4 linked regions of the Oreochromis niloticus genome follow. The protein of the gene in region 2 interacts with the protein of the main gene of each other region in a pairwise test. Links are inferred from orthologs where the notes say so. Each region holds a gene or a part of one and is shown on either strand. Other genes may lie near its edges. The genes, in order: tfg, protein boule-like, serf2b and RNA binding protein fox-1 homolog 2.

Evidence for each region.
Region 1: the proteins of protein boule-like (region 2) and tfg interact in binary tests that used the Homo sapiens proteins (3 or more experiments, as listed by UniProt). The two-hybrid records come from large-scale screens. The link is inferred for Oreochromis niloticus from reciprocal best matches to the Homo sapiens genes BOLL and TFG.
Region 3: the proteins of protein boule-like (region 2) and serf2b interact in a two-hybrid assay, tested with the Homo sapiens proteins (2 studies listed by BioGRID and IntAct). The two-hybrid records come from large-scale screens. The link is inferred for Oreochromis niloticus from reciprocal best matches to the Homo sapiens genes BOLL and SERF2.
Region 4: the proteins of protein boule-like (region 2) and RNA binding protein fox-1 homolog 2 interact in binary tests that used the Homo sapiens proteins (3 or more experiments, as listed by UniProt). The two-hybrid records come from large-scale screens. The link is inferred for Oreochromis niloticus from reciprocal best matches to the Homo sapiens genes BOLL and RBFOX2.

What each region holds. Positions count from the first base shown.
Region 1 is NC_031987.2:22,289,070-22,296,568, reverse strand, and holds the start of tfg (protein TFG), read right to left. Parts: upstream 3,022-7,499; 5' UTR 2,992-3,021; coding exon 2,808-2,991; intron 2,660-2,807; coding exon 2,576-2,659; intron 1-2,575. Other genes in the region: jagn1a (protein jagunal homolog 1-A), read right to left, coding at 5,532-5,994, 6,080-6,120. UniProt on the Homo sapiens protein: Plays a role in the normal dynamic function of the endoplasmic reticulum (ER) and its associated microtubules. Required for secretory cargo traffic from the endoplasmic reticulum to the Golgi apparatus.
Region 2 is NC_031986.2:13,037,057-13,044,145, reverse strand, and holds the start of protein boule-like, read left to right. Parts: upstream 1-4,084; 5' UTR 4,085-4,167; intron 4,168-4,255; 5' UTR 4,256-4,267; coding exon 4,268-4,294; intron 4,295-6,328; coding exon 6,329-6,457; intron 6,458-6,548; coding exon 6,549-6,640; intron 6,641-6,795; coding exon 6,796-6,850; intron 6,851-6,972; coding exon 6,973-7,048; intron 7,049-7,089. UniProt on the Homo sapiens protein: Probable RNA-binding protein, which may be required during spermatogenesis. May act by binding to the 3'-UTR of mRNAs and regulating their translation.
Region 3 is NC_031965.2:28,316,866-28,324,542, forward strand, and holds the start of serf2b (small EDRK-rich factor 2), read right to left. Parts: upstream 3,025-7,677; 5' UTR 2,883-3,024; coding exon 2,876-2,882; intron 2,117-2,875; coding exon of another isoform or gene 2,110-2,116; coding exon 2,001-2,109; intron 108-2,000; coding exon 41-107; 3' UTR 1-40. UniProt on the Homo sapiens protein: Positive regulator of amyloid protein aggregation and proteotoxicity. Induces conformational changes in amyloid proteins, such as HTT, driving them into compact formations preceding the formation of aggregates.
Region 4 is NC_031969.2:9,183,282-9,190,491, forward strand, and holds the start of RNA binding protein fox-1 homolog 2, read right to left. Parts: upstream 3,004-7,210; 5' UTR 2,158-3,003; coding exon 1,903-2,157; intron 1-1,902. UniProt on the Homo sapiens protein: RNA-binding protein that regulates alternative splicing events by binding to 5'-UGCAUGU-3' elements. Prevents binding of U2AF2 to the 3'-splice site.

The sequences.
Region 1 (7,499 bases), on a different chromosome or scaffold from region 2:
AGAGCAGAGCACAGGAAACAACATCATGTTGTTAATACAGTTTAGACAGTAGAGAATGTGTTTTTTAATGACAGATTTGATGCTGGTTTGCTATGGTTACGAGTCACACTTCTTCGTAGCTGTAGGTAATGTTCTACCTACTAAACAGCCTAAAGTTGGACTGTGACTTAAAGCATGCTTAAGGTGGTACCCAATCATAACTATTCCAATATTTTCATTGGATTTTTAAAACACTTCAGTTCACAGCACTACTGAAAACTTACTGACTTTTCATTGCCCTTGAGCAACTTTTTCACAAAAAAAGTACTTATCGCAAAAACATAGACAGTACTGCTATACAGTCCACTGAGATGAGACATGCCTTCCTGTCTACAATTCAGTTAGCGAGCAGGCAGTTAGACACTGAAGCACAATCAGGTGCTCCAAGCTTCAAATATTTGCTGGTTGTTACAGTCCAATCTCCAGAGCCCAAAAATGGTATTGGTATGCTATCTGTTTCTAAACTGACAGAACTCCAACACTATTTAGTTACAGCCAGGAAAGACAATCCTCTAAAACACAAGCCAAACACTGGACACAGTCTCAGCTGTTGTGTTAACAGAATAACAAAACACCTGTACTGTAAAAATGGCCTCCCAGAAAGTTTGATTAGTGAAAGAATCAACTTAAAATTTCACAGGCTCAGAATATTTCTTCTCTTACCACCTAGCATTAATATACAGCTTTGCTGTGACTGAAAGAAAAATAAATCTGAAAATGTGGTATATCTGATCATATATATTTCAGTCAGCAAGGATTATCAATACACTTCAGTGTAAGCAAAAGTGTACCTTTTTCCTTAGACATAAGAATAATTAACTGATGGCCTATTTAAAAATAATGCATTTTTATATGTAGTGTTTCATTATGGCTTTAAAAACATTTTTTCCATGCATTCATCGGTTTTCTACTACTAATCCGGGTTAACGGTCTAAGACCTCTCTATCCAGTTCTCCAAGGAGGCACTGAGGTGTTCTCAAGCAAAGCAAGGGCCATCATCTCTTCAGCATGTCCTAGGATCTTCTACCAGTTGGGCATGCTGGAAACACCTCACTTAGAGGCATCCTAAAAAGAGACAGCTCCTCACCCCACCACTAAGGGAGGGAACCCATTTTGAACACTTCTATCTTCAGTCTCATTCTTTCAGTCACTATCCAAAGCAAGTGGCAATAGGAGAATATAGATCGACTATTATGATTGTAAAATATTAAATATTACAAATAAAATGTATAATTTAAATGTTAAGCCTCCTATTAACCACAAACCTGTAAACAATGAGGCTAAAACGTGTACAGCAAAAGCATGGTTGACACAGCCAGGCTTTCTTAACCCTAAAACTCCAATCCTTCTGCTTCAGAGAGGAATAACAGCCAAATCATACTCTGAGCTTGATTCTTGGGAAAAAAATACTTAGGAAAATTATGATCCTTACAGCTGATTTGAAATTTAGAACTCTGAACATAACCTGCTTAAGGTTATGTGTTCAGCATATTCACTATAGTGATATATTATAGCGAAATAGCCAAGGGCCCTGTGATAGGCTGGCAACATGTCCAGGGTGAACCCTGCCTGTTACCTACTTGTAACCCCGCACTGAAAAAAGGATGGATGGATGTAGCCCAGTCACAAACAAAACAAACTTGCCTAAGCCCATTAATCTCAATGTTGAGTACACCTCTTTGATCAAAGTCCACTTTTTTACCATTTCATTTATCTTAATCATACTTTAGGAAAACTAACATACTAAGTCCTATGAAATCCCAGAAATTTCATCACGATGTTTTTACTACCGACAGCAACAAGGCTCGAATAACATGTTAGGGTGAGGCATATTGGCTGGTCAGGTAACTGATTATTCAGCGAGTTACACCTGCTGAGCTATTGAATGACTGTGGAATTATCTGGGCGGTGCAATGGTTTAGCCCAAGAGGTTGAGGTGGCGACCCATAAGCTCTAAGGTCTTTGCAGAGGCTCTGGTTCGAACCTGCTCCAAGCTATTTTCTGTCCTGAATGTCCAGAATAACTGGTACAAAATACACACATCTACTACCTGTCATAGTGTTTGTTTGTTAAATTGGTGCTAAGAAACAGCGAATCCAAAACAAATTAGTCAGAAGGGAGTGTAGATCATTTTCATTTGGACAGTAACGATGTTTGCTCTGTGGAAAATTAAGCTAGACTGCCCTCCAGTGACTGGCTGCTGTAACAGCTGAAATAAGAGACTAAACATCTACAGCAGGGGTCCCCAATCTCAGTCCACGAGGGCCGGTGTCCCTGCAGGTTTTAGATGTGTCCTTGATCCATCACAGCTGATTTAAATGGATAAATTACCTTCTCAACATGTCTTGAAGTTCTCCAGAGGCCTGGTAATGAGCTAATCATGTGATTCAGGTGTGTTGACCCAGGGTGAGATCTAAAACCTGCAGGGACACCGGCCCTCGTGGACTGAGATTGGGGACCCCTGATCTACAGCCTTGAATTCATCAAGGCAAAAACATGCATACAGTCCGTAAGAGGAAATGTGTTAATTTCTTACCAAACAAAGTCAGTTTGAGTATTCTACTACACTGGATGGCAAATGAGAGGTCAGAGCTGTCAAAAATGGTAATGAGGTCATCATCTGTAAACAGGAAATGGGGACAAAAGATGATTAACTGTACAGCAAATTGCCACTTTCAAAGAAAATATGCTGAGATTACCATCATGAAGTACACTTGTCACCAGAGGACAACCGGACCCTCACAGGCCTTTTCTGTGTCCTGACTCACCTTCATCCTTGTATTTGATAGTGACCTCGTCGTTACTCTGCAGCTTTCCCCTGAAGACACGCTGCATCATGAGCACCAGCTCATCATAGGTAATGTCTTCATTATGGATGGGAATGCGTCGGATGTCGTCACCCAACTGGGCTTTGATGATCAGCTTCCCGCTCAGGTCCAGCTGGCCGTTCATGGTGCCGTCTGACCTCTTCTGCTCCCAGCACTTGACAAAGGTAGAAGAGAGGTGTTCACAATTTCAGTGCAGCCCTGAACTCTTCTAGGCATTACCCAACAGGGGGTGACACACAGTCACACTGAACACTGGCCACTCTTTAACCTTCCAGCTCCTTAGTACCAAGTAGGGTTGTATAATTACTCAAGTTTGATTTGCAATTACGATTTCTTCTACAGTTTTTAGTGATTATCAAAGGCTAATTCAGATAAAATAATTATTATTACTACTTAGGAGGTATGCATACTGCAGTGCCAGGGCACCACTAGTCAGCAAAATGACAGTTAAAAGAACAGCAATAAGTGTGCATGGCATTCAAAGCGACATGTATGTCTATCTTACAGAACAGAATATATAATTATTAAATTAAGCCCCTTTTAAAACAGTGGAAAATGCTAGGTCAGAATAAGTAGGTCAACAGGTCAGCTGCTGTGAGAACAGTCCTATGATTACATTAATATGCCGAAATTAACAGCTTGTCTTCACTGTCACAAAGCTCTCATAATGTTGACTGAAGCCTGTATGGGATTACACACAGAACAGGAGCGCTCCTCCCTTGACTTAAATTATTTAATCAAACACAGCAACGAAACCATGTCACTCCAGAGTCTAAGGGTCAAACATCTTCATGTGAGGTGGCACAGGCTATAGAATAACAGACCTCCTTGTAGACTTTGACCTAAAATATCATCTCTTCTGATAGGAGAAAAACGCTTTCAAAGCCATTTGGCGAATCATATAAATGATTACAAAGTAATCGCAAATTAAAACCCATTTTACTCAGATCATACCGGTAAAACGGATATTTCTTTGGGGGGAGGGGGGTATGTAATAACAGGCCTGCACTCATCAAACAAGGTGGGGTTAACATACTGTGTTAAGTTAACGTAAACCTCATCGTTCGTGTACAGTCACGAGTTGGATTAACTCTGACGTTACCTCCTGATGTTGTAAGCTCAGCAATATACTCTTTCTGTCCGGGCCAGATGAGTAATTGGCTGGATGCTAGGGATTGGGTGGTAGCTAACGTTTAGCGTACAGTAACATTCAATGATTACGACTGGGAAAAAAAATTAAACCGAAACGGAGTCTAACAAGTTAATTTCTAGAGCTCTGGAAACAAATCTTAAAATATCACAGAAGCGAAAGTAAAACTTTTATATAATAGCAAAAGTCGCAGTCATTTATCAGTGGCCCATCAACAAACAGAACTGACTGCTAACGCTTGTTAGGCCGTTTCACCACTGCCATTGCAGTGTTTACTGTATACGTTACATACACTTAAAAAAATGAATAATCTGTTTAATTTCCTGATGTATATCTGAAAAATCTGGAATAATAACACTTAGCTTTTACTTTATGACAATGAGTCGTCAACAAGCTGTTTCCTGTGTAACTTATAACAGCTCTACCTATAATAGAGCTACGTAAGAAGGTATAAACTGATCATTTCCCTACTTCACCTTACATAGACTCGATCAGATCAGTTAATTGACGAATCTTTTGTTAAACAACTCCCTCTGTATCACTCTCGACACCTGTTTGGACGAGCTAGCGTAGCGTTAGCTCCCTGCGTAGCTAGCTAGCACCACAACAGTACGTAATAGCATAGAAACTGCTTTGTAGTTAAATTATAACATAACTCGAAGTAATGTTTATACCTGAACCAGACGACTTGACCACGATGTATTTCACGGGTTTCCCCAAACCGTGAAAATCTAATCTATTAGCTAGCCTAGCTAGACCCGGGCAGCAGCATCAGGAAGTGTCCTCCAGACTGTCAACGTCAACCAGTACGTGGCATTCAGTGTGCGCAGCCGCAGACCGACTGGAACAAAGTGCGTTGAGAGCGTTCACAGAATTTCAGCCATCATGTTGAATAGCGTTTATTTATTTATCTTTTGAACACTGGATAGCTAAGCACGCACAGAGTCTGCAGTAAAGCGAAGCTGGTGTTCTCGTGCTGCAAGAGAATATCTTAAAAACAGCAGTGCATGCAGATACTGTGAATGCGCCCATTACAAAAACCAAACAAATATCATAAGAGGTAGACTTAACATACTGAACAAATAAACACATGGCAAAGCATATAGTTTAACAGTTTGTAAGTGTGTGTGTGTATGAATAATTGCTTCAATACTGTAAGTATGAACTTCACATTTTCTTTAAATCATAGGAAGACTTTTTGAGAGAGACACCAACATTATTCTTTTTTCTTTGATTGGAGAAGGGCTGAATTCACAGTGACTGGACTCCATTTTTATCGCTGGTGCTTTGGATCCCAATCCCAACCTAACTGTGTGTGCAAGAAATCAATCTGCTGCTTTAAATAAATAAGTTTATTGAAATGAACAATCATTAGCTTTAAATTAAAATCAGGGATGCAGGATGAATCATATTACATAATCATGAAGACTAAGGAGACAGAACTCACGTATAAAAGAAAAGAAAATGAAAAACAAGAGTTTTGTCCATTCACAGATTAAAAAAAAAAACCTCCATTATTTGTTCTTCTTCTCTTGAGTAGCATCAAACCATGAATCCAGCAGTTTTTTCATGTAGTACAACTGCCAGCCATGCACTTGAGCAGCAACCACTATAACGATGTACGCAGCAGTCACTGCAGAGCAGCCAAAAATGAAGCGGAAGGCTTTTCCTTGACGGAAGAGCTGCTTTGCTACAGGAAACATCTCCATGCCACCATATATAAGAGGTGCAAAAGAGAAGAGCCCTGCACTGATCATTGACAGGACCAGGTAGCTGATGTTGTTCTTTGGGAGGGACAGGCTGCTGAAGAGCAGAGGGAAGATGCTGAGCAAGTAGGGGTACTCCCACTGGTACGGCATGGACACAGTGTCCTGTGACACAATGTTGAAGTGGCTGACGGTCACTTGCGCGGCCACCAGCAGCCAGATGAGAAAGTGGACCACATTTAACTTCCGTATCTCTGACTTCAGAGAAGCGCTGCAAAACAGAAAAACAGACCATCAGACTGCAACTCAGAGACAATGTTCATATTTATTGACAAATGCCAAACATAGATACTTGCTTCATCTGGTACTGTGGGGCCATCCTTAGTTTGTTTTTCATGTTTGGAGAAACCTGTTAATGCACAAGACAAATAATGTAACATGCAAATGACTGCAACCAAAGAGCATACACTGCTAAAAAAAATTGTGATTTCATCAAATTTCATTGGAATATTTAAAATCCAGAAGACAATCAGGGTATTAAAAGACATTTAATATTTAAAGCTGCAAAAGGACAGTTTCTTACATTCGAAAGCTGGAACTAACTGGTCAACCAAGCAATATGACAGATTTAACCTGCTAATGTCCCAGTGTGCGAAGAATCAGCCTGGTAAATGCAAGGACACCGTGAGGAGAGAGATAATAGAGGATACAGATTCAGCCATAGTAATATTAAACGTCACCGTTTCCCAGCTGTCACAACATGATGCAAACAGCGATTTAAACAGAAAACGGCCGTTTTCGCGCAGACTAGTCGTGCTGGGATTTGAAGCATTAGCTGCTACTGGCTAACCTAGTTTAGCGTTTACTTTGGACAGATACGTTTTGTACGTTAGTCTAGCATTTTTATTTATTTCTTTGTTATCGCCAGTAACGATAGTAGCAGAGTGAACTTGGCTTACCAATGATGTTTACACCTGACTTTTTCAACGTTTGGCCGAGCTCCTTGTTTAAATTTCAATCCAAAGGAGATGTGCTGAGTGAACATCAACGACAGCTTTAAGCATGCGCACTGACGACCGACATCCCTCGGCAGCATCAGCATCTTCTTTTCACATCACAATCAATAGTTCTGTTATCGTATACTGTTTATTTGGTAGTATTGATTAAGTTAATTAAGTTGATTAAGCATGGTTGTCACACTCTACAGGGCTAAAATGCCAATTTTTAATGTTTTTCTGCAAAAACGAAAAAGATGCTGACTTTAAGAAATTTGATTACATGTAAAGTTTTTAGGTAATTTTGTTACATAAGTACAATTGAAAACGTCAAATTAAATGGAAATTGGTCAAATGAAATGTACTTGATTAGTATAGGTTCATTTAATTCATTTTAAGCATATAATGATTGATTATCTAAATATAAATTGTTTAATATAAATGTAAACAAATATTTACAGACTGGAAACCTGTCTAGAGTGTACCCTGCCTCTGTGTTTTTGTTTGTCTGTTTGTTTTATTGTTTTTAAATCACACTATTAGATCGAAATTCAGTGCTACAAAGCATACTTAATATCGATATTGATTTTCAGGCAACAGTTCTTGATGAATACACTTAAGGCATCCTGATATATGTTTATTAAACCATGAGGGTCAAGTGGGTCAGATATGTTAAGCCTATAAAACCAGATCTCATGGAGGTGTTAAGTGAATGGCAGTGTGATTTTTTTTTTACTCATTCTTCTCTTCAAACTCCCTCTGATCTCTTCCAAAAAAAATA
Region 2 (7,089 bases):
TGTGTAGTTGGATGGCTTTAAAACCTTTGTAGCTTGATTTAATCTTTATGCTGAGCTAAGCTAACAGAGTCCTGGACTCCTACAGTAGCTTCATATTTCCTCCACTATAGCCTATGTTTAGGGTCCTTTGCATAGTCTGAGGTTTTATTGGCAGGAATTTTGAAACTTGAAAAAGAGTAGGATAACCTTAAACAAACGTTAGATCAAGGTTTTGAATCAAATAGAACTGGGTCCACAAAAGTAGAGATTAGCTTCTTCAGTTCTAAGGGTCAGTGGTGGAGAGTCTCCCACTAGGTTTAAATCTGGGACTCTCCACCACTGACCCTTAGAACTGAAGAAGCTTCTCGGATGAGAGATGAAACGTCTTCAAGCAACTCAAGAAGTCCAGACGCTTTTCTTTCCAAGCTCCTTAGTTCACATTGGATACATTTAGGGAATTTAGACATACTGAAGACCAAAACTCCATACAATATACTATAAACAATGACACCCCCCCCCCCCCAAAAAAAATCTCTTCTACTCAGTGGTATAAACTTACCCCAAATTAGGGGGTCATCTGGCCCAGTGGTCCAAAGTTGAAAGGAGCATTACCCATTCATTTACCCACACAGCCTTTTCTAAACACTGGTCTAAATAAATTGGATATGAAGCCTGGATGCTAAGCAGGCATCATATGATCTTTGTTTCATTCTGGCAAACAAAATTTGACAAAAAACACAGTCGATAGCAAAGCTCCTCTGATAACCTAAACACACTGGCACGCAAGGACACACACACACACATATTCACACATGTCTCAGTGGATCATATTTGCCAGCAAATCCATATGATTGTAACATAAACACAGTGATGCACAAAGAGGGAGGTCTGGGCCTTGTAGGCACCTGAGTGTTTGCAGACATGAAGGTGCGCGTTTGTGTGTTTTCTTTCGCCCAATCCCCTCGTGTGTTAGAAACCCCCTGCTCTGCTACAAAGTGATTTCATCCCGCTCCGTTCAAGCTGCTTTTGTCGAGCCATCGCATCTTACTCACCACCTCCCCACCCCGAGCACATTTAGAAGAACAGATGAATAAATGGACGAGGGGGGAAAAAAACAGTAGACTGAAACCACAGTGGAACTCAGCGATGGTCAGCCAGGCCCACCACGCCTCAGCAAATGTTTGTCCAAACCTGTTATTTCTGGCATTGTACTGTCTCAAAGAGATCATTTTATTCTCTGAGAGGAATGCAGCAGCTATAAATAGTCTGGAGATGAAGGAGGGGAAATCAGAGATTTGTAGAGTAATTACAGAGTCAGAGTTGAACCCTTCTGTTACGGCTCATTTTTCATCAACCTCTGTCTCCACGACTGTCTGAGTGACTGACCGACTGAGGTAAAAACGGGCCCTTTTTTCAATGGGAATGTGAGTCTGACCTGATATTTGACCTCCATTTTATTTCTTCCATGCCTGTTATTTACTCTCTACCTCTTGTTTGTCACAAAACCAAGACTGGATAGATTTGAATCTCTGTGAGGCACAACTGATTTTATTTTGGAACACTTACCTCAGTATTTTTACTCTGAAATAAACAAACAGAAAATCTGCTTTTTGTCATTTTCATATCAATACTTTTGATGAGAAATAAGCTACCTCCAAACCTTATATTTCAGATTAAAACCAGCCCTCTTCCTCTGCATTTGGCAAAGCCTGCACCCCTCCAGCGCGAGGCTCATTTTGGGCCAAATTACTCACTCCGATGTAAGACAGATGACACAACGAATGACTTTAACCTAAATATTGCATTTGAATGTGAAGTCAGCAGTTTGTGTCTGATTCAGACTCATCTGAGGTCATTTTTGTTTGATTTAAGTCAATTGAAGGTTGAAATGATCGCAAAACATATATACATTACATAGACATACACATGGCATGGAAATAACTCATGTTCAGTCCAGCAGTGCAATATAACATCCCAATCTAACTGATTATATATATATATTTGTCATGTACATATATATATGTATTTATGGGTGTATGTATGAGTAGATATATATATATATATATATATATATATATGTATATTATTCAAGTCCTTTTTTGGAACCATGTGATGGAGAATTGTCCTAATTTGTCTGTCTGATGACAATAAAAAGTCTTGAATCTTGAAACGCAGTGATAGAAAGACTTCTGACACACAACATTCCCTAGCAATGACGGGGTGGGGGGAAAAATGATGTATAACATGGAAAATTAATATTAAGAGGAAATGAAAGTAGTCAATACAAAGCGACAAACTAAAACAGTCACAGAATAAAACCTTCACTCTCCTTTGTTTCCAGAGAAAACTCAAACAGCCAGGCGAGTTGCCCTGACAGCACTTGTGTCTTAAATGATCTTTGTGGAGTATAAAAGGACTTTTAGCTCGTAAATTGCTGTAATTATCAAACATGCCCTTCTCATTTTGCACAGTCAGACCTCGTTGGCAAATTCACCCCGGCAATTAAGGAAAGCTGGAAATGAATGACAAGTAATGGTGTGGCCCACATTACTCAGATGAGGGCAAGCAATCCAGAGACAGAAGGGTGTAATGGTGGGAAATGTGCAACACAGACTGAGAAGAATTACACACTGAGTGGATTATAAACTGTGTTTGCACATTTATTCATAATAATATGGATGTGTTTGAGTGAAAATCCTGTTCCTGCTTGTGTGTTTTTCATTCACTATTAGTATTACTAGGTATGGAATTGGTTGCCACCACCCCCACCCTCCAGCTCTTGAAGACTTTGTTCAGTGTTCAGTGTCACTTTGTTGTGGTCCTAGGGAGGAGCACAAAAAGGTGGTGGTGGTGGTGGGGGGGCACGAGATGCAAATGATGGCGTTTCAGAACACTTTGCAGCCAATCATAGACAAATTATGGCTCCGTGAGGATTTTGCTCAACATCTGAAGTGGCTCCTGAAGGATCAGGAGAGGAAAGAAATGTGGAAATGTGGAAAAGTCACTCTATTCTACTTTTTCCTGCAGCTCTTAACGGCGAGGGACATAATATTAAAACACATTAAAACAAAACAAAGAATTGACTTTTAAATGGAAATATAAGTTGTGTGTGTTTAATCAGCATTAAGGGATTCAGTCAGTGATGAGATATTTGTGAACTTAAAGCGCCTTGAGGCGACTGTTGTTGTGATTTGGCGCTATATAAATAAAACTGAATTGAATTGAATTGAACTTTGTAGACAGATTTCTTTGACAATATTTCACATTTAACAAAAATTTCATTTCTATAATTCAAACAGAAAGAAAAGAGAAGGACATGCTTGAATCCGATACGTCCTGGGTCTCTGTGACTACCTGTGCCTTTGTTAGCAACAGAGAAATGGCGCCTCTATGTGGCCACTTTTTAGTACTGTACTTTTTAATACAACAAATGTGGACTGAAGTAGGACAGAAAAATTGTTCCATGCCCATAATTTTTTTTTTTTTAATCAGGAAAGGACTCAGCAGTTAAGCACATTTTAGGTTCAAAATTAGCACATTTCCCCACCCAAAACCCAACAGGACATTGTGGCTATTCTTGCTCTATTAAAGGGAAGAAAGAAGCCAGGGAAGGATTTCTTTTATTATTATAAAATGATATTGTCTGGAATTATTAAGACGTGAAAAAAAATTAAAACGTGTATTAACATCTCGTTTTTATTAAATCATATGACTTAGGGAAAAATATACATAAATACCCAATTTAACTTTGAGAAAACATGTTATTATTGTACTTAAAATAAGAGCATACATTAGAGGTGGGCGTATCATTCCAAATATCGCAGTGCGGATATTGGTACTAGATTTGACTGATAGTAGCGCAACAGGATGTGGGTTTCTAAGTTCAGTATGTAGCCCACTGAATGCTGTTAATGCTTTTTTTCTGAAAATACACGAAAAGTTGATACCTTGAAATTTTGAGATAATATCCCAAAATGTTGACTTAAGACAAAAAAAATAAATAAAAAAAATCTGTGGTGGAAACACGCTTCCATACAGAGTTTAATGGGAGATTAAAAAAAACAACTTTTAGAGTAATTAATAAAAATGTTACGTCACCTTTACCTTTCCTTTGCTTTCCTAGATACACAAACCAACCGATGAGGTCATAGTTCGTGTGAGTGGTGAAGGCTAACCTAACGGTCGGAGGTGAGCAATGAAGCCGTGTAACAACCATTAGCCAAATCGTGAATAGGCCACCGTTAATCAGAGCAGTAACGTGCATTTATCTTTTTAGCTTCAGAATAATATGGCTAAGGAAGCGGCGAGCCAAAAGGTGAGTGCATTGCCAAGTTTGCCCTTGCCGCTTTGAGCGCAATTATTTTAGCTAACAGCTAACGGAGCTAAGGTAAGTAAGTAATGCTGGGTTATGTTATGTGATATAAACTTTATCAGAGTTAGTTTTCGATACTTTTGAGCTACTTTATGTCCAATAAATTGTTGGTTATAATCTTAGTTTACGTGAAAAATACATTAAGAAAAATGCTAATTAACTTGGAATTAACTTGTGCAATATATATGCTAGCTAAATAGGTTAATTCAAAGTAGCTAAGACGTTAAATACACTTTAATGGGACACGCTGTTCTACTTTACGCGAATTAAACTATTTTTACCTGAGAAATATTAATGCTCGTTGAAGATAATTTTGGAAAGTTTGTGTTGTTTGAGTAACTTTTTTTCTTTTCAATTTTCACACAATCCTTTAAACTATAGGGAAACACTCATTAAGTTAATTGCTAATCATTTTTCGCTCTGTTGTATCTTCCTGACAATTTTCCCCCATATTTTCTGGACATTTGAAGTGAATCTTTAAAGGAATTGAATTTTTACCCAGCCCACAGGCTGACTGCACACTTCTCATCTTTTCTTTTACTTTTCTTTTTTTTTTGCTTTTTCCCTGTTGTAGGCATAAACGTTTGTGGTTGTAGTTTCTTATGTATTCAGGTTGAAGGTACATCTACTTTGGTTTAAGAACCTGCTGTTTAATTATTTATTTTGTTAGTTTTGATTAAGTGTTAAGTTTCAGAGCAGAATGTCCTCATGAACATGGCTACATTCATTTTACGAGTCATGTTGTGTAAATAGAAGTGGGATTTATAATCTCTGACCACTTTAAGTAAAGCTAGGTACCTACTCCTTAAGACACACATGTAATCAGCCAATCACAGAGCAAGTAAGTGACTCAAAGTCACATGACCAAGTAATCCTGCTGCTGCACCTCTTGGTCTCAGTATGTCAGGAACTGCTAATCTTCTGGGATTTTCCCACAAAACCATGTTTAGGATTTAGAGAGAATGGTCTGGAAAATATAAATTTTCTGTGAGGGGAAATCTCTGAGTGAAAATGCCTTTTTGAGGTGAGGGGTCATAGGAGAATGAGCAGACTGCTTTGAGCCGAGAGAAGGCAACAGCAACTCAAATAACCACTCGTTACAAGCAAAGTATACAGAAGAGCAACTCTGAAGGAGCACCACTTTCAGCCTTAAAGCAGATGAGGTTCAGAAGCAGAAGACCACACGCGGTGACACTCTTGTCTGCTGAGAGCAGGAAGCTGAGGTTGCAGTGTGCAGGGGCTCAGGAAAACTGGGAAACCTTTGCTGGGCTGAGGACTGTCCCAATGTCTGCTGCAGCAGACGGTAGAGTCAGAATTTTGGTGTAAACAATGTGAAAGCACGGATCTAGCCTGCTGTGTATCAACATGATCATCAGGGATATTTTCTCTTGACACTTCAGGTCCCTTAGGACCAGGTGAGCATTGTTTAAACACCACAGCCTGCCTGACCCAATACTATAATGATCTCCACACTCACCAGATCTCAATCTAAAAGAGCATCTTTGGGATGTTGTGGAATGAGAGAATCACGTCATGGATGTGTGTGATGCTGTCATGTCAATATGGAACATAGTCTCTGAGGAGTGTTTCCAGGACTTTGTTGGATCTGTGCCATGAATGCAAAAAGGGCCCAACCCAGTATTGGCAAGGTGTACCTAATAAACTGTCCAGTAAGTGTAGTACTTAAGTTTTAGTACCCTTAATCTTGACTACTTTCTGGGAAAGAAATTAAAAAATCAGGCCAACCTCATTACGTGTAGAGTTTCTTACTGGCCCAGAGTAAGACCAGTACACGCTGTCTTTGGGCCTGAGTGAACAGAGATATGTATTTTCCACTTTACATTTGCACAATAATGTACTCATAAATACAGAAATTTTGGTAGGACAAATAAAATAATTGCTCTTGGCTTGAAAGCTGGACATGAAACATTCCAACAACTTGTTCACACAAAATTATATTTGGTGTTTGTTTCCCAGAGCGGGGGCAGTTCCTCCCCAAGTGATGTGCTACTTCCAGATGATTATGCTGACAGCCTGACAGACCACAGCACAACCTTTGGCAACGTGATCCCCAACAGGATTTTTGTCGGGGCACTTGACTACAGGGTGAGGGCTGCCGAAATAATGTAGAACAAATGATTCAGACCATGATTTAAAATCTCTTTTGCAATGATGAACCAAACGAATGTGTTTCAAGGTTAATGAGCGTGACCTGCGACACATTTTTTCTCAACACGGCACAGTGAAAGAGGTGAAGATTGTCTTAGATCATTCAGGAGTGTCGAGGGGGTGAGTTCATTGTCTTTTTCCTCTCATACACAGAGTCCGACTGAATGATAAAGTATGCACAGCTGATTTTCTCAGCTTTGAATTTAAGCGTTATAAGCGTTATTTACACATTTACTGTCACAGTAAAACACGCTCTGTCTTTTGTCTTTCAACAGATATGGGTTTGTTACATTTGAAACTCAAGAAGATGCTCTGAAAATCCTCAACAATGTAAGTAGTTTAGTGTCTTGCATTGGAATATTTCATGCATATAATAATGCAAGCAATCTGACTGGAATATGTTGTCTATATGTTATGTTGTTGTCTGTACGTCTGTTTATGTGCTTTTACAGACTAATGGAGTCACGTTCAAAGACAAGAAGCTCAGTGTTGGTCCGGCTTTTCGAAAGCATCAACCTTCAAGTCAAAGTAGGTTGACGGTCCAGTAGTGCAGGTGTTTGAACATGTAG
Region 3 (7,677 bases), on a different chromosome or scaffold from region 2:
CTTGAGACACCGAGCTGAATTCGTCTCAAGACTTCATTCTTCACTTGGTCTTTCCTTTCCCTGCTTCATTTGCCTTTTTTTGCTTCTGTTGCATTATCTCTGCATCCCTGGAGGAGAAAAGGGAGACATTTCAAGAGAGGACAAGCTTTATTAGGAGACTGAAATGTGCACGTGCGCGTGCGCGCGCGCGCGCACACACACACACACACACACACACACACACACACACACACACACACACACACACACACACACACACACACACACACACACAAAAACAATCACATTATGTGTAATATATGTCTAACTGTTTGAAAGACAAATTCCTTGCCTAAAGTACTGCAACACACATTTTTTGTTGTTGTTGTTGTTTGTTTGTTTTGGGGATTTTTTGGTGGGGTTTAATTTACTCAAGCATAAGATGGTTTTGTGTCTTTGTTTTTTATTATTATTAATAAAGGTTCAGAAATATAGGATAAATAACTTCTGTTAGGTAAGACAACACTGATCCATTGCCTTTACTATACAAGAACCGGTGCTTACATGTACAAAAGTTCCGGGGAAAGAGCCAGAGACCCCTGAATATGGTGTACTAGAATCACATCAACAAGCTGTACGATTTTTTTTTTTTTTAATTACCTAAAAAAGAAGCAAACGCCCCTATGCAATAAAAGCCTTATCAATGAGCAGTTAACTGGTCATAATGTGGATATAGTGCTGAAAAGACTTGCTCAGTAAACTGTATAATAAGCCTTGTTTCATAATGAGATGTTTCACTTATATTGACAATTTTAGGAATATTGCAATATTGTTTGGGGGTTTTCCCTTATTTTTTTTAAACTAAGAATTATTAAAAAACTTAATAGAATTATAGCCTTTATAATCAATTGAATAAAACATAAAAATAGGTATATAATGGAAACATATAGTAAGTAATAAAGAACAGTATAATGATAGTACAATAATAAGTAGGGCTGTGCGATATGACCAAAATCTCACATCCCGATATTAAGACATCTATCATCCGATAACGATATAAATCACAAAAATGTAACATATTCTGTAAATTCTGTGAATGTCGGGCAGCTCGACTTGTGTGAAGTGTTTCCAGCTGGGCGTTGCGTACCTGGAGTCGAGTGTTTTAACTGATGCATGAAACGATACATTTTTAGACATAGATTGTAACGGCCACCGTTTTCTTTGTGAGTATTTATTACACAGCGTGCTGCAGGGAAAAGCCTGTTCTATCGTTTGAGTCTAAGGTTTATTTTTTAGCACCTGACGGCTCTTTTTTTGCTTCTCATCCGTAAATACTCTGCATCTTTCACGTGATTCAGTTTATTTTGAAAAGTCTCAAAAGGGTCTTGAGCTTTATTGTGAAAGGTTTATGTGGAAAATAAACAAGCGGACACCAGGTGGTTTTACCATCGTTGTTGCTAACGACAACGCATAAAAACAAGCGCTTGTCCGTCTGTAGTGTGGTTATATTAAATATAAGAGAAAGAGAGAACTTTAGGAAATTAATATAGCCACTACAGTGACCATCAAAATAATGAAAAAATATTGCCGTAAACAGTTTATTTTGCGACACCACGAAACAAACGATAGCGTAAAATGAAACGATAGACGTTTTTATATCGTCATCCGATATATATCGTTATATCGAACAGCCCTAATAATAAGTATATAATTAGGTGTGGAATTAATGAAGGCTGCAATATATATTATAATGATGTATAAAATATGTAATATATACATTTATATTTTCGTATTTATGTAAATATATAATAATGTACCCATTTTAATTGGACAATTATAATACAACTATAAAATGAAATACTTAAAAAACAAACTAATGAATTCTCCTAATTGTTAGTACATTTTACCTTTAACATGTGCACCACTTCCGTCACCTTGTGCTGTTTAGAAAACTATGCTTTGGTTTGTTTAGTTAGTGTGCATCCTACACTTCTTTAATCTCTTGCAGACTGCAGGCTTACCTCTGTTTCCGGGCAGCTGCAGATAGCCCATCCTCATTTCTCTTGCCTTTAGTCTGTTCAGTATGCTTTTTAGCATTTTTCTGGCGTGCAAGCTCACGCTGGTTTCCTCCTGTCATGTCAATAAAAAGGGTAAAAAAAAACAACAACAACAAATCAGACGAAAAAGCTGCGCCTTATAATGAGACACTTGACATAAGTTGCTTCCAGCAAAAAATAAATAAAACACAAGCTGAATTTTTATTATTATTATTAAAAAGGAAATCTGTGTGTCTACAAGTCGAATAGTTAACAGAAAAAGAGCATGCTATGATCTGCACGATGAAAAATGAAGATGGTGCAGCGCTCAAAAGCAGCCGACGTGGCAGAGAGGCGCTCCGGAGCACTTTCTTAGCCAGAACAACAGCACAGAGGGCAGCAAAAGAATCCGCCGCTACCACGGTTTTTCCAAGTTCATGTGCAGGATTGAAAAAAAAAAATATTACTAGTAAAAACACGGAAGCTGCGTTTAGACCAAAACACCCATATTTTGTTTCTGTATTGCGTCCACACATACAGGCCAGGGCTCAGAGTAACGCCCGGACAACAAGCGACCCACAGCCAACACAAGTACAACGGGACGTTATGTAACACATGTTAGCATAAGTCTATGCCCTTAAATAAACCAACTAAAACGGCCAAATTAATCGCGTCCTTAAGTTATTGCCCAAAACGACAATCCTCTATTGAATCTGTCAAATAGGATAATGTATATTACATTAAATAGACGGAACCCAAGTCGATCAACGACAACCATTGGTCAAAAATAACAAACACGGAAAACAAGCATCCGACCAAATACATGAATCCCTCAGAGCGTAATAAATGTCGGTACCCACTAGTCATTTTAGTGATCGACTCTTCTTTCCCCAAAAATCCAGACGAGCTCAGCCAAAGGGCCGCTGACTCCCTTCTCGACGCTCCCGTTGCTGTTTTTCAGTTTGGTCGCGAGCCAAATATGCGCGAGACTTCCGCAAGATAACCAGAACATTCCGTCGAGCCACACGGGACTGCGCATGCGTCAAGGCTGGTCGTCAACATGCCACGACGGTGAAGTTGCAAAGGGGTGACTTTTTTAAATGATTATTATTTTTTTACGTTTTAGCATTTTGCAATGACTTTGCATATAATATATGTTAAAAAGAAAATACAAAGACCATCAATGAACCGTATATAAAATGTTCAAATTATGACGCTTTTTTATTTCTTTGTGAATATGACGCTGCCAACGTGTTTCAAAAAGGTTTGGGAAAGAGGCAGCAAAGGACTGCAACATCGGTGTGTTAAAATTTAAATGGTGGAAAAACTGTTAAAGGAATATATACAGTACAAAGTATATGCAGTAAATACAGCACAGCAAAAGTCTTGAGACACCCCTCAGTTATTGATATTTTATTAGGAAAATAGGAAGTTCAGTATACAAGCCAGAAAAAATAATAATATACAGAGGGATAAAGTTAATCAGTCAAACCATTAGGTTATGGGAAAGAGCTGTTACAGCTAAGTTAAGAGGAGAGTTAAGAATTTGTGTGCAGTACAGCTTCATTCCAAGAAGGAATGAAACTCCAGGTGTGATGTTTGCTTTGAGCTGCTGGAGAAATATAGAGAAGGTCCCAGGATGCCAAGAGATGACAGTAATCAGAATTTAGCATAAACAATATGAAAGCATGGGTCTGCCTTGTATCAATGGTTTAGTCAGTCAGCTGCCGCTCTGGTGGTATTACATGATGAATAAGAACCTAAACATTACAAAGATTCTTGCACACCACTCCAGATTTAGCACAGGGTGCTTACAAATATTGAATGACCATTCTGCCAGATCAAGGGTCTTGAATCAGCCCTTCCACTTTACAGTAATATCACTTAGAGCTGATTGTGGATTATCTGAGAGAGTTGAAAATTCATGACCTAACTTGGTGCAATGGTGTCATTCTATACACTTTACATCTTTAATTTCTCAAATATTTGTAAAGGAAGACTGCATGGCTGTGACCAAAAACACCAATATTCAGAGGTATATGGAAAGATTTGGCTTAATGCTTTTGTCCAAACATGTATGACTGTCTTAAGCTAGATTTCCTTTTTTTCTTTTTGGCCAAAACATTTGTTAATATCGGGTGCTTTTGACTGTTCACACAATGAAATAATGATCCTAGTGACTCCTAATGATTCCTAATTGGCCTAATTGGTCTTTTGATCAACAGCAGGAGGCAGAAGACATATTATAAAACTTGCATTTCAACTCTTCGCACCCTGGATTTGCCTACAGTAGTATTTGTTTTAAGAATATGACTGGCACCATAATTTTCAAGCTTGAAGAAGCCATCTAATACATACAGGAGGTAGGTTTAACATTTGTTGTGGTTCATTTCTCTAGCATCAGATGTGATTTGATTCCAGGTGACCGCATGTTGAATAATTTTACTACCTCGTACTCATTTTTATTTCCTGTTATGTGACTCTTTTAATTTGGCAAAGTAAAACTATAAACTTTCCTTTCAAAATGCAAGCCTACCCACTGAATGTGAAACTAGTGAGATGCTCCTTAATGGTATTGTGTAATGAAACATCACAAGGTGCAGTCCAAATCTGGCAAAGGATGCTTACAAATATTGATTTAGTAGAATGAGAGATCGGTTACAGTTTTCTGAGATGGTGAGTGACTCCTTAAAAGCTGACTGCAAAGATGCCAGTAGGTGGCAGACTATACTAAGGTAAATTTGGAAAGAGGTCACACAAACAAGACATTCGGCGATTTACATACTTTATAGAAAGCATTTAAACTATAAAAATATCAAAGCTAATTATTCCATATCTAAAATGCTTCAATCAAATAATAATACAAAAACATTTAATAAGATCAGGTAAAACTCTTGAAACAAAAAGCTACAGTAACTTCCCTGAAATCATCTAAAATGTGACATTTTTCTGTTAAGGCGAATAGCAAAACGTGGGCTTGTTTAAGTGGAAAACCATTTGGGAAACCATGTGATGTTTCTTAGCAGTGTTTATATTCTGACTTTATTCACTGTCTGGTTGCTAAATACACTAAATGACTGAGTCATGTCTGCCCAAAACTGAACTTGTACACAGACACCACCGCTATGAATAGACAAAGACATAATTTGCATTGCCTAATACCCTTATATATTTACTTCTTATTTTATGTTGATATAAAAATATGAAACAAACTGAAGAACACACTGAAACTGAGTCTAGTGTCAGCTATAGTGTGTGTGCATTTTTTTAAAATAGAAATCCCAAATTGTGTTTATAGTGGTGGAAATGAGTTGGAGGAGGAAAATGAAGACAGGGTTGGGTTTCTTTCTCAAAGGCAAATACTGTATTTTAGGGACATAATTACTGTTTGAATACAATGAACTATCAAACTGCTGCTGCAATTGTCTAGCCAACAGTCTATTTGGGTGAAGAATAAGGTCTTCTTAGACTGTAATTATATTCTGTAAGTTTGTTCTGGTCTGCAGTTCTCTCTGCATGTTATTTCCTCACGCCGGGCTAAAAACTTACTCTAAGTGATCAAATACCCTTTTTTTCTCATTAAATCCTACAGGTCAAAATTATATGTTTACCACAAAAATAATGAACAGTCCCTTGGAAATGTCCTTGTGACAGGTAGTCATACATCACTGGCTGGAGTGCAATTTATGCACCTTTAGCAGCAAAGAGAATGCTTGTTTTTGTATTGATTTTTACTGTAGGCTGTTGCTGCAGCATATTTTATTTGAGCTTAACCTGGCAAATAACTCCAAGCTCAAAGTCAGCCAGCAGCTGAGTGTTGGCAGCACAAGGATTCTCAGATGGAGTTACATAAAAAAAAAACAACTATTTAAAGAAACATATTAGGGAGTAGTTGCTTTAATGGAACATTTTTGGATGTAATTTCTTTTTCCAAATAACTGAAAGTTATTTCAGTTTGAAGAAGAAAGCCCAGTGTGAATAAATGTTGTAATAAAACTTTATTGTCTCTAAGAAAGAAACTTTAGCCATGTTGACCAAGCCAACGCTAAAAGAGAGAATTACCATGCTTGCGTTGAAAGCTACTGCAATTTTGCTAACAGTTAATTTTTGAGCTTCTTTCTGGTGTGTGCAGATTTTAAAATTCTCATGCGTTTGTTTTTTTTGAAGCGACTCAATTACACACTCTTAATTACTTAACTAGCTAAAAGTAACTTTCAATCACTGCCTCATCTTGTGGTACATAGTGGTATTACAGCTCTTCAGCACAGCACATTATAAAGCCGTAACAGTTGTTTCTTCATCTTATGCTGGTAGCTTTAGTTATTTCCTTTTACGTGTTAATGTTCTGTGATATTAAAGAAAATACAGCTGAGGCTGGTGTGAATATCACTTGTAGTGCAAGTATTTTATCTTAAACCAAGTATTGTCCAAACATGCAATAATGGTGCAGTTTATTTAGTTCTTTCCAAAATCATAATGATTCATTCACTGCAGATCATGAACAGAACAGAACTTGAATAGATTTATCATTTGATCTGCTTCATTTCTCCAGCATCAGATTTGTTAGGCTTCATCTGATTCTTAGCACAAATTTAATAACATCACTGCCACTTGTTGCTTCCATTTATTGTAATTTAAATTTGGTTGTTAAAGTCGGTAAAGTAAAAATGGAACCATTAAAAAAGCCAGTTTTTTATTTCAAAAGCTACCCATGTGTCTTGAAGTAATAAGTGTGATCCACATGCTATATTTAGGAATGTTCATGCTCATATATTTGAATTCGTTTAATTAACATATTCAAAGAGAGTAAAGAGACCTTTACCAGGCATCTATTTCTCCTTGGAATCGTACTTACATTATCATGCTATTCGGCTTCAGTCCCTTCATGAAGGGGTTTGAATAGTCTTAACTTTCTTGTTTATGCACCAGAAATGCAATCATCTTTTACCAAAATCATTCATATATGACTCGACAAAGCCCTAGATGGGGTCATTTAATTTTAGGAGATAGTTTTTTAGCGAGTGCAAGCAGAGGATCTAGTGGGTAAACAGCCATGGCTTCATCATGCCACTTGCGTGCTGGAGTGTGAAGACTTTAACAGCCTGTAGGACAGCATGTCAAACACTGTGGTCAGTTTATTGGGCTTCTGGCGACGCAGGGCAGCCCAGGATGTCTGCCTATGACTTGTTTTCCCCACAGCTGCTTGCAGTGACAGCATCGAGCTTAAAGCAAACTATTTCTGTCTCTGAGTGCAATTATCACCACCTGGTAATTTTGACAGTGTTGACTGCTTCTGCTTTACAAAGCCTCTAATTGTTAATGCCGTCCTTGTGAAACTGGTGCTCCTCATGCCGTGTCTCCAATTTAATCAAAGGGAGATGATAGGGGGAGGGGAAGCCTGTTTTCCATTAATTTCATACTATATTTAACCAGAAAATTTAACATTAGCAGTAAGAGTCCTTGTCCTGTCATTACATAGAAATTTGCTGTGGCAGAAATCTCTTTTAATTCAGAAGTTCAATCTGTGCATATAACAAATTTTTGTGCAGATTTGACTATGTGATGAGCGATAATCTAATTGAAAAGCAATACTGGCTCTTGGATTTAAGCTTTAAGAAACAATATTAAATGGTTGTACAACAGATGGGTTTTTTTAGACCAA
Region 4 (7,210 bases), on a different chromosome or scaffold from region 2:
CCTGATTTACAGTCAGCCTGGAAGGTCAGAAGTATACCAGCTCGAGCTCACTGCGGGAGCCCTACAGTAATTGCTGGGTGCATTTAGTTCAAGGGACATCCACTGGAGTCATCATCTCCATCGCGAGCAGCCATGCAGCGCCCGAGAGCTACTCGATACATCCCCTCAATGTCATTTTCCGATTTATTTATCCTTTGCATAAAGTGTCACTGGGCTGATTATCATCATTCAGGCCCTGTCCTCATGCTTATCTCTTCCACAACTGATGGTGTCATGCCTGCCATCCATCACTTCCCTCGCATACTTTATCATGCCGCCTGATGGATGCAAACTAACGGCTCAGATTTTCACTCTGCCCTCCGTCTCCTTTATCCCACCTCCACACCCCCACCCCAAAATCCCCACATCTATCCATCTATCAGTCCCCAGTCACACCTCTTTCCCTCTCCTCTAATCCACTCGCACACTATGCCCAATTAAACCACGATCCTTGCTTTCCTCTCTTTATCCTCCACGTGCAACCTTCGGTGCACTCTCTTTCTCTTGCTGTAGCCTCATCCTCCCTTTTATTCCATTTACACGACCCCACCCCGACCCCAACAATCAATACAACCGATGGGCAGCGAGAATCCACAACATGCCGCCCTGCTCATTGTCACATCATCTTTGCCAGCGGGCTATAACCTTTTGCCATCATCAACATCCATCCTCTGTGAGGCTCACTGAGCATCACAGCATCACACTTGGACCTTTCTGTCTTTGCAGTGGGTCAGCTGCACAGCCCATTGAAGCATTTTACCAGTTTCCCCGGGATTCAATTACCTGCAGACGACCTCAAGTCGTTTCCGCCTGCCCTTCGACTACCGTTAGAGCAGTTTTCCTGGTCTTTAAAAAAAAAAAAAAAAAAAAAAAAAACAGACATCAGCTGAAATTTTTCTCTTGTACTATTGCATTACGGGGGCACTTCAAAGCATGTGTGTGTAGGTGTAGGAATGATGCGTGCTGTGTGTTTGCAAGAGAGAAATAAATAGCAAGAGATCCAGGCAGAACAAGTGAGAGGTGCACCCTTCGCCTCGGCAGTTCTTTAGTTTACTGTAACGTACACAGGTTGGTCCGGGGAGGCAGGAACGGTCGCTGATGCTTTGCTGTCTCAGCATTTGAGTCATAAAAGCAAGGGAAGACCCGTGTTAAGGAGGCCCCCCAGAGACCCTTCGCTCCTTCAAGCTCAAAAAAAGGCTCTGTTCTTTGTCTTTCTCTGTGGTGACCCCTCCCCCAATCCTTGTCTGCCTCTCTCTTTTAACACCTAGCGACAATCTGGGGGGGGGGACACGGAGCCATTAAATGCCCTCCATGTGTGTGTCAGGACTCACTGACAAATTATCCGCACATTTCAAAGTAATTTCATCCACATAAGTATAAAAATACAAAATCCCTCGCAACATGTGACAAAGCATTGGTTTACCTTCTGTGAGGCAGGCATGATGAATGGCTCTGATCTTTGCCGTGGTGTCTGGGACTGTCATAGCAATGGAGCCTGGATCATATTACCTTTGTCTGGTTTGGTCAGAGCAGCACCAAGAGGAACAAACAGCAAGCCTCGATAATCACAGCAAGCAACGCGTTTACTACTGAGACACTTTTCCTGCGTTTGGCTTGTTTTAATTAAAGGATTTGCTGTTGCACCCATGCATGATTATCTAGAGGGGGAAATGCGTGGGGGGGGGGGCTGTCAAAAACATCATCATCCTTCCTAGCTGATGCTTAGAAACAAACAGAAAAAACAGCGAAGAAGGAAAAGGAGGGCGGATGATACTGAGTTCAGTGAGCAGCATTTGTAACAGATGGAAACAAAACGACACAGATGTGAGAAACATATCCTTTGTGTTTACACTGCATTCATACCTGGCCAATGTCACCAACAACACTCCCGGTCCCGTCTATCCTTGGTCTTTTGCACTCCGCCCCGGACAAGTCAGTGAGGGCAGCGGCAGTCTGAGCGTCGGGCTCCGGATCGCCTCTCTTCATCCCTCGGACCACGGCTGGACCCCCGGCCGCGTTTGCATGGGGTCCGGCTGCTGTATCAATGTCCCTTTCCCGGTCCATTATTCCCCGACTAACGGGTAGCATAATAGATGCAACGTCGGTCGACATTAACATTGGACGGGAGACAGTCACCAGTCAAAAGTCTCTTTGGCTTTTTCTTTTCTTTTGTTACCTTTGCCTTCTCCTTTGGGTTTGTCAACGGCTCGATATTCACAATGGATTTGGCTTTTCCCAGACGGATAATATTGAACGGATTTTCATCAATATACACAAGCTTACACTGTTTATTGTCTAACTTAGCCTTAGCTATGCGAGACAAACCTTTAAAACCATGGCAGAATCAAGCAAAAAGGACATTAAGTACAGTTGTCCCTCTCTTTTTCCCCCCTGAAAAAAGAAAAACGACGACAGTGTCCTATTTTAATAAAGATCACACGTCCGACTCTCGGATGCCTGACAAGCTAATTAGCTAGCTAACATCGGCTAGCCTGCTAGCATTACATTCCGCTAGCTCTCTTTATAAATGTGGCTCGGAGAGCACACTCTCGCTGCCAAGAATAGAAAATGTTGGAAATTAGCTTCGAGTAATACTACTCCTTCTGCGGGGCCAGCCAGTCACCCTCTCCTCTCGCCCCTAAACGTGTGGGGTTTTTTCTTTTGCAGTGAACTCCTCTGTGGTTCCTACCAGCTTTCCCCTTGAATTCTCTCCCTTCTTGTCCGTTCCCTCGCCTCGGTCTGCTGTGGATGAGTCTTGGCGTGCGTACCTTGGCTACCGACGAACACGATTTCCTCTGGTCTCAGTCCCAGTTGGTGTAACTCGTAGTGTGGAGGGAGCGCGAGTGCGCTGATCTGCGGTCAGATTTGCCCGTGAACACCGGGCTCGCGGACAGGGGGGAGTGAGGTAAGGCGGGCTGGTCTGAGGTCTGCCTTTCCTCGGTCTCCTTCTCCTCCTTTTTTCCCTCCTGATCCCACCACCTCACAGCTCCCTCCTCCTCTGCCCTCAGTTATTATGTGTGCCTATGACAAGAGGCACACATATTACTATTCGTCGGATTTATTATTATGTGTGCCTATGCCAAGAGGCACACATATTACTATTCGTCGGATTTATTATTCTTATTATTATTATTCTCCATCTTCCGCCTAAATTTCGGCACGTATCACGCCCCGCAGTTTTGAGACAAGCTTCATATATGTTACCTCATTTTGTGTGGCCGGATCTGGAATGGTGTGCTATGACTTTTGGTGTTTATGAATTTTATAGTTTTTTAAATATTAATATTTTAGTGAAAATTTTCCCGCGCTCCTCTGCCAAACAGTTTTGACATTAGGATTACATATCTTAGATCATTTTGTGCGGCTGGAGCTGGACTATTATGTTGTGACTTTTGGTGTTTATGACTTTTATAGTTTTTTAAATATTAATATTTTAGTACAAATTTAGGCCAATTCATCTTTTGGCGCCAAATAAACAGACTTCATTTGTGGTGTCTTGGCTCTCTCTAGTGGTATACCGGGAGTAGTACAGCCGAAAAGATTTATCCTTGTGTTGAAAACTCCATATCCCACAATTCATAGCACGCCTCTACAGAGTGAACAATGGCGGCCACCACTTCGTTTTATATGTCTTTTATTCATGTTTCTAGGTCACAAAATAAACTTTTAAGATATTTTCAGGCGAGAATGTAGGTGTGTAAACTTCAAATATCTGCTTGTTTTATCAAGACATCCCATATTTAGCGACAGTGCTCTGACGACGTCGGTCCTGCCTGACAGCTAGCCGGCTACCTAGCTAGCTGCCGCACTTGGCTGCAAATGGATAGCGAGGGGACTCTCTCTGTCGTTTCACCTCCCCGGTCTCTCGCAAATGCTCGCACAGAATCGGAGTTACAGCTGGATGTGGAAAAAATAACTGAGTTGTTTGGTGGTGCTATAATGCGGAGCTACAACAGTGGGCAGCTATCCACCGGTGTATGACAGAAAGGACATGCCGCGACCGCCGATCGACCGGTGTTTGCTAATGCGGAGGTCAATCGTGGATCAGGGAAAGCGAAGGCAGGAGCGTGAGGTGAACTGAATTTCAGGTAAGAAGTTATGACCTGCACTCTATTTGGGTCAGATATAAACCGAGTTTAGGTGTAGTTTATTTAGCAGCAGTTCTCTTATGTGTTGCTGATAGCCGGCTAGCTAGCTAGCGCCGCTAGCATAGTTAGCTAGCACCGCTAGCGACCCTTCATGAAAAAGCACCCAGGCTTGGCTTATATTGAGGCGGGTGAAACTCGTGTCAGCACCCGGTCGCTCGCCGACAGTATGTGTTTTAGCTGGACTTATTTTTCGTTTATATGGACCGATGATTTATTTATTTATTCATTTTAGTAACGGTATAAACAGTGAAAGGTGGTGGATTGGCCAGATGTAAACTTCAAATATCTGCTCGTGTTACCAAGACATCCCATATTAGCTCTGATGTTTTCGGTGCCTGCAAAGAGCTAGACAGGTAGCTAGCTAACCCGAGCTGGCTGTCTTTTTGACTCAGGGTCATAGCTGGACTTATTTTTCGTTTTTATGAGCCGATGAGGGTTTTTTTTTAGTAACGGTACAAACAGTGAAAGGCGGTGGATTGTCCAGATGCTGGTCGATGTGGAAAAAATAACTGAATTGTTTGGTAGTCGCTGACGCGGAGCTACAACCGAGGGCAGCTATCCACCGGTGTGTGTCAGAAAGAACATGCGGGGAACGAGGCGGCGAGGCGACCGCCGATCGACCGGTGGTAGATCGTGGATCAGGGAAACCGAAGGCAGGAGAAGCAGGCGGCTGCCGGTCGGAGCGTGAGGTGAACTGAATTTCAGGTAAGAAGTTATGACCTGCACTCTATTTGGGTCAGATATAAACCGAGTTTAGGTGTAGTTTATTTTCGTTGTGCTGACTTTTTACAATCAGTTATAATAACTCGTACTGCGTGGTAGCTAGCACGATGGAGTTTCTATACAGCTGTGTGCGCACTAAGTTACTGATGTTGAACTTTATGACAGCCTCCCCTGTCATTCTCTCGCCTGTTCAAACTTCAGTCATGAAACTGATCAATGATCGGCTTTTCTCTCTTGTTTGTTTATCGCGCTAAACAACAGCAGCACGTTTAAGCTTGATCAGCTGTTGTTAGAATTCATTTGATTTTAATTTCTAGTATCAGCTGATGTTTGCTGGAGCCACAGCTGTAGAAGCGGCTGGTCGAAACCAGGAGATGACCTTACTGAATCATCAGAGCTGAACTGGTGATGGAGAAACAGGTTTACCTTTTTTTTAGGTGACATGAATGAGTTGAAGGGAAGTTATGAACTGTTTCTGAGAGAAATAAACACCAAGCTCCTTTTTTTATTTAGCTGACAGCTGGTAAATGTGCAGGGGCGGATCTAGCAAAGCTTTTGCCAGGGGGCCAGGTAGGGCATTAACAGAGAAAGGTGGACACAAAGATATACTTTTCTTTCTTACTCTCATACAGGGAGTGCAGAATTATTAGGCAAGTTGTATTTTTGAGGAATAATTTTATTATTGAACAACAACCATGTTCTCAATTAACCCAAAAAACACATTAATATCAAAGCTGAATGTTTTCGGAAGTAGTTTTTAGTTTGTGTTTAGTTTTAGCTATTTTAGGGGGATATCTGTGTGTGCAGGTGACTATTACTGTGCATAATTATTAGGCAACTTAACAAAAAACAAATATATACCCATTTCAATTATTTATTTTTACCAGTGAAACCAATATAACATCTCCACATTCACAAATATACATTTCTGACATTCAAAAACAAAACCAAAACAAATCAGCGACCAATATAGCCACCTTTCTTTGCAAGGACACTCAAAAGCCTGCCATCCATGGATTCTGTCAGTGTTTTGATCTGTTCACCATCAACATTGCGTGCAGCAGCAACCACAGCCTCCCAGACACTGTTCAGAGAGGTGTACTGTTTTCCCTCCTTGTAAATCTCACATTTGATGATGGACCACAGGTTCTCAATGGGGTTCAGATCAGGTGAACAAGGAGGCCATGTCATTAGTTTTTCTTCTTTTAAACCCTTTCTTGCCAGCCACGCTGTGGAGTACTTGGACACGTGTGATGGAGCATTGTCCTGCATGAAAATCATGTTTTTCTTGAAGGATGCAGACTTCTTCCTGTACCACTGCTTGAAGAAGGTGTCTTCCAGAAACTGGCAGTAGGACTGGGAGTTGAGCTTGACGCCATCCTCAACCCGAAAAGGCCCCACAAGCTCACCTTTGATGATACCAGCCCAAACCAGTACTCCACCTCCACCTTGCTGGCGTCTGAGTGGGACTGGAGCTCTCTGCCCTTTACCAATCCAGCCACGGGCCCATCCATCTGGCCCATCAAGACTCACTCTCATTTCATCAGTCCATAAAACCTTAGAAAAATCAGTCTTGAGATATTTCTTGGCCCAGTCTTGACGTTTCAGCTTGTGTGTCTTGTTCAGTGGTGGTCGTCTTTCAGCCTTTCTTACCTTGGCCATGTCTCTGAGTATTGCACACCTTGTGCTTTTGGGCACTCCAGTGATGTTGCAGCTCTGAAATATGGCCAAACTGGTGGCAAGTGGCATCTTGGCAGCTGCACGCTTGACTTTTCTCAGTTCATGGGCAGTTATTTTGCCCCTTGGTTTTTCCACACGCTTCTTGCGACCCTGTTGACTATTTTGAATGAAACGCTTGATTGTTCGATGATCACGCTTCAGAAGCTTTGCAATTTTAAGACTGCTGCATGCCTCTGCAAGATATCTCACTATTTTTGACTTTTCTGAGCCTGTCAAGTCCTTCTTTTGACCCATTTTGCCAAAGGAAAGGAAGTTGCCTAATAATTATGCACACCTGATATAGGGTGTTGATGTCATTAGACCATACCCCTTCTCATTACAGAGATGCACATCACCTAATATGCTTAATTGGTAGTAGGCTTTCGAGCCTATACAGCTTGGAGTAAGACAACATGCATGAAGGGGATGATGTGGACAAAATACTCATTTGCCTAATAATTCTGCACTCCCTGTATAAAATATTTAGCTTTTATTAAATAGTTATCTGAATCTTACAACCAAAGTTTGTATAATAATACACAAGATTGGCTGTAGACCATTGTTCATCATTCAGAACACTG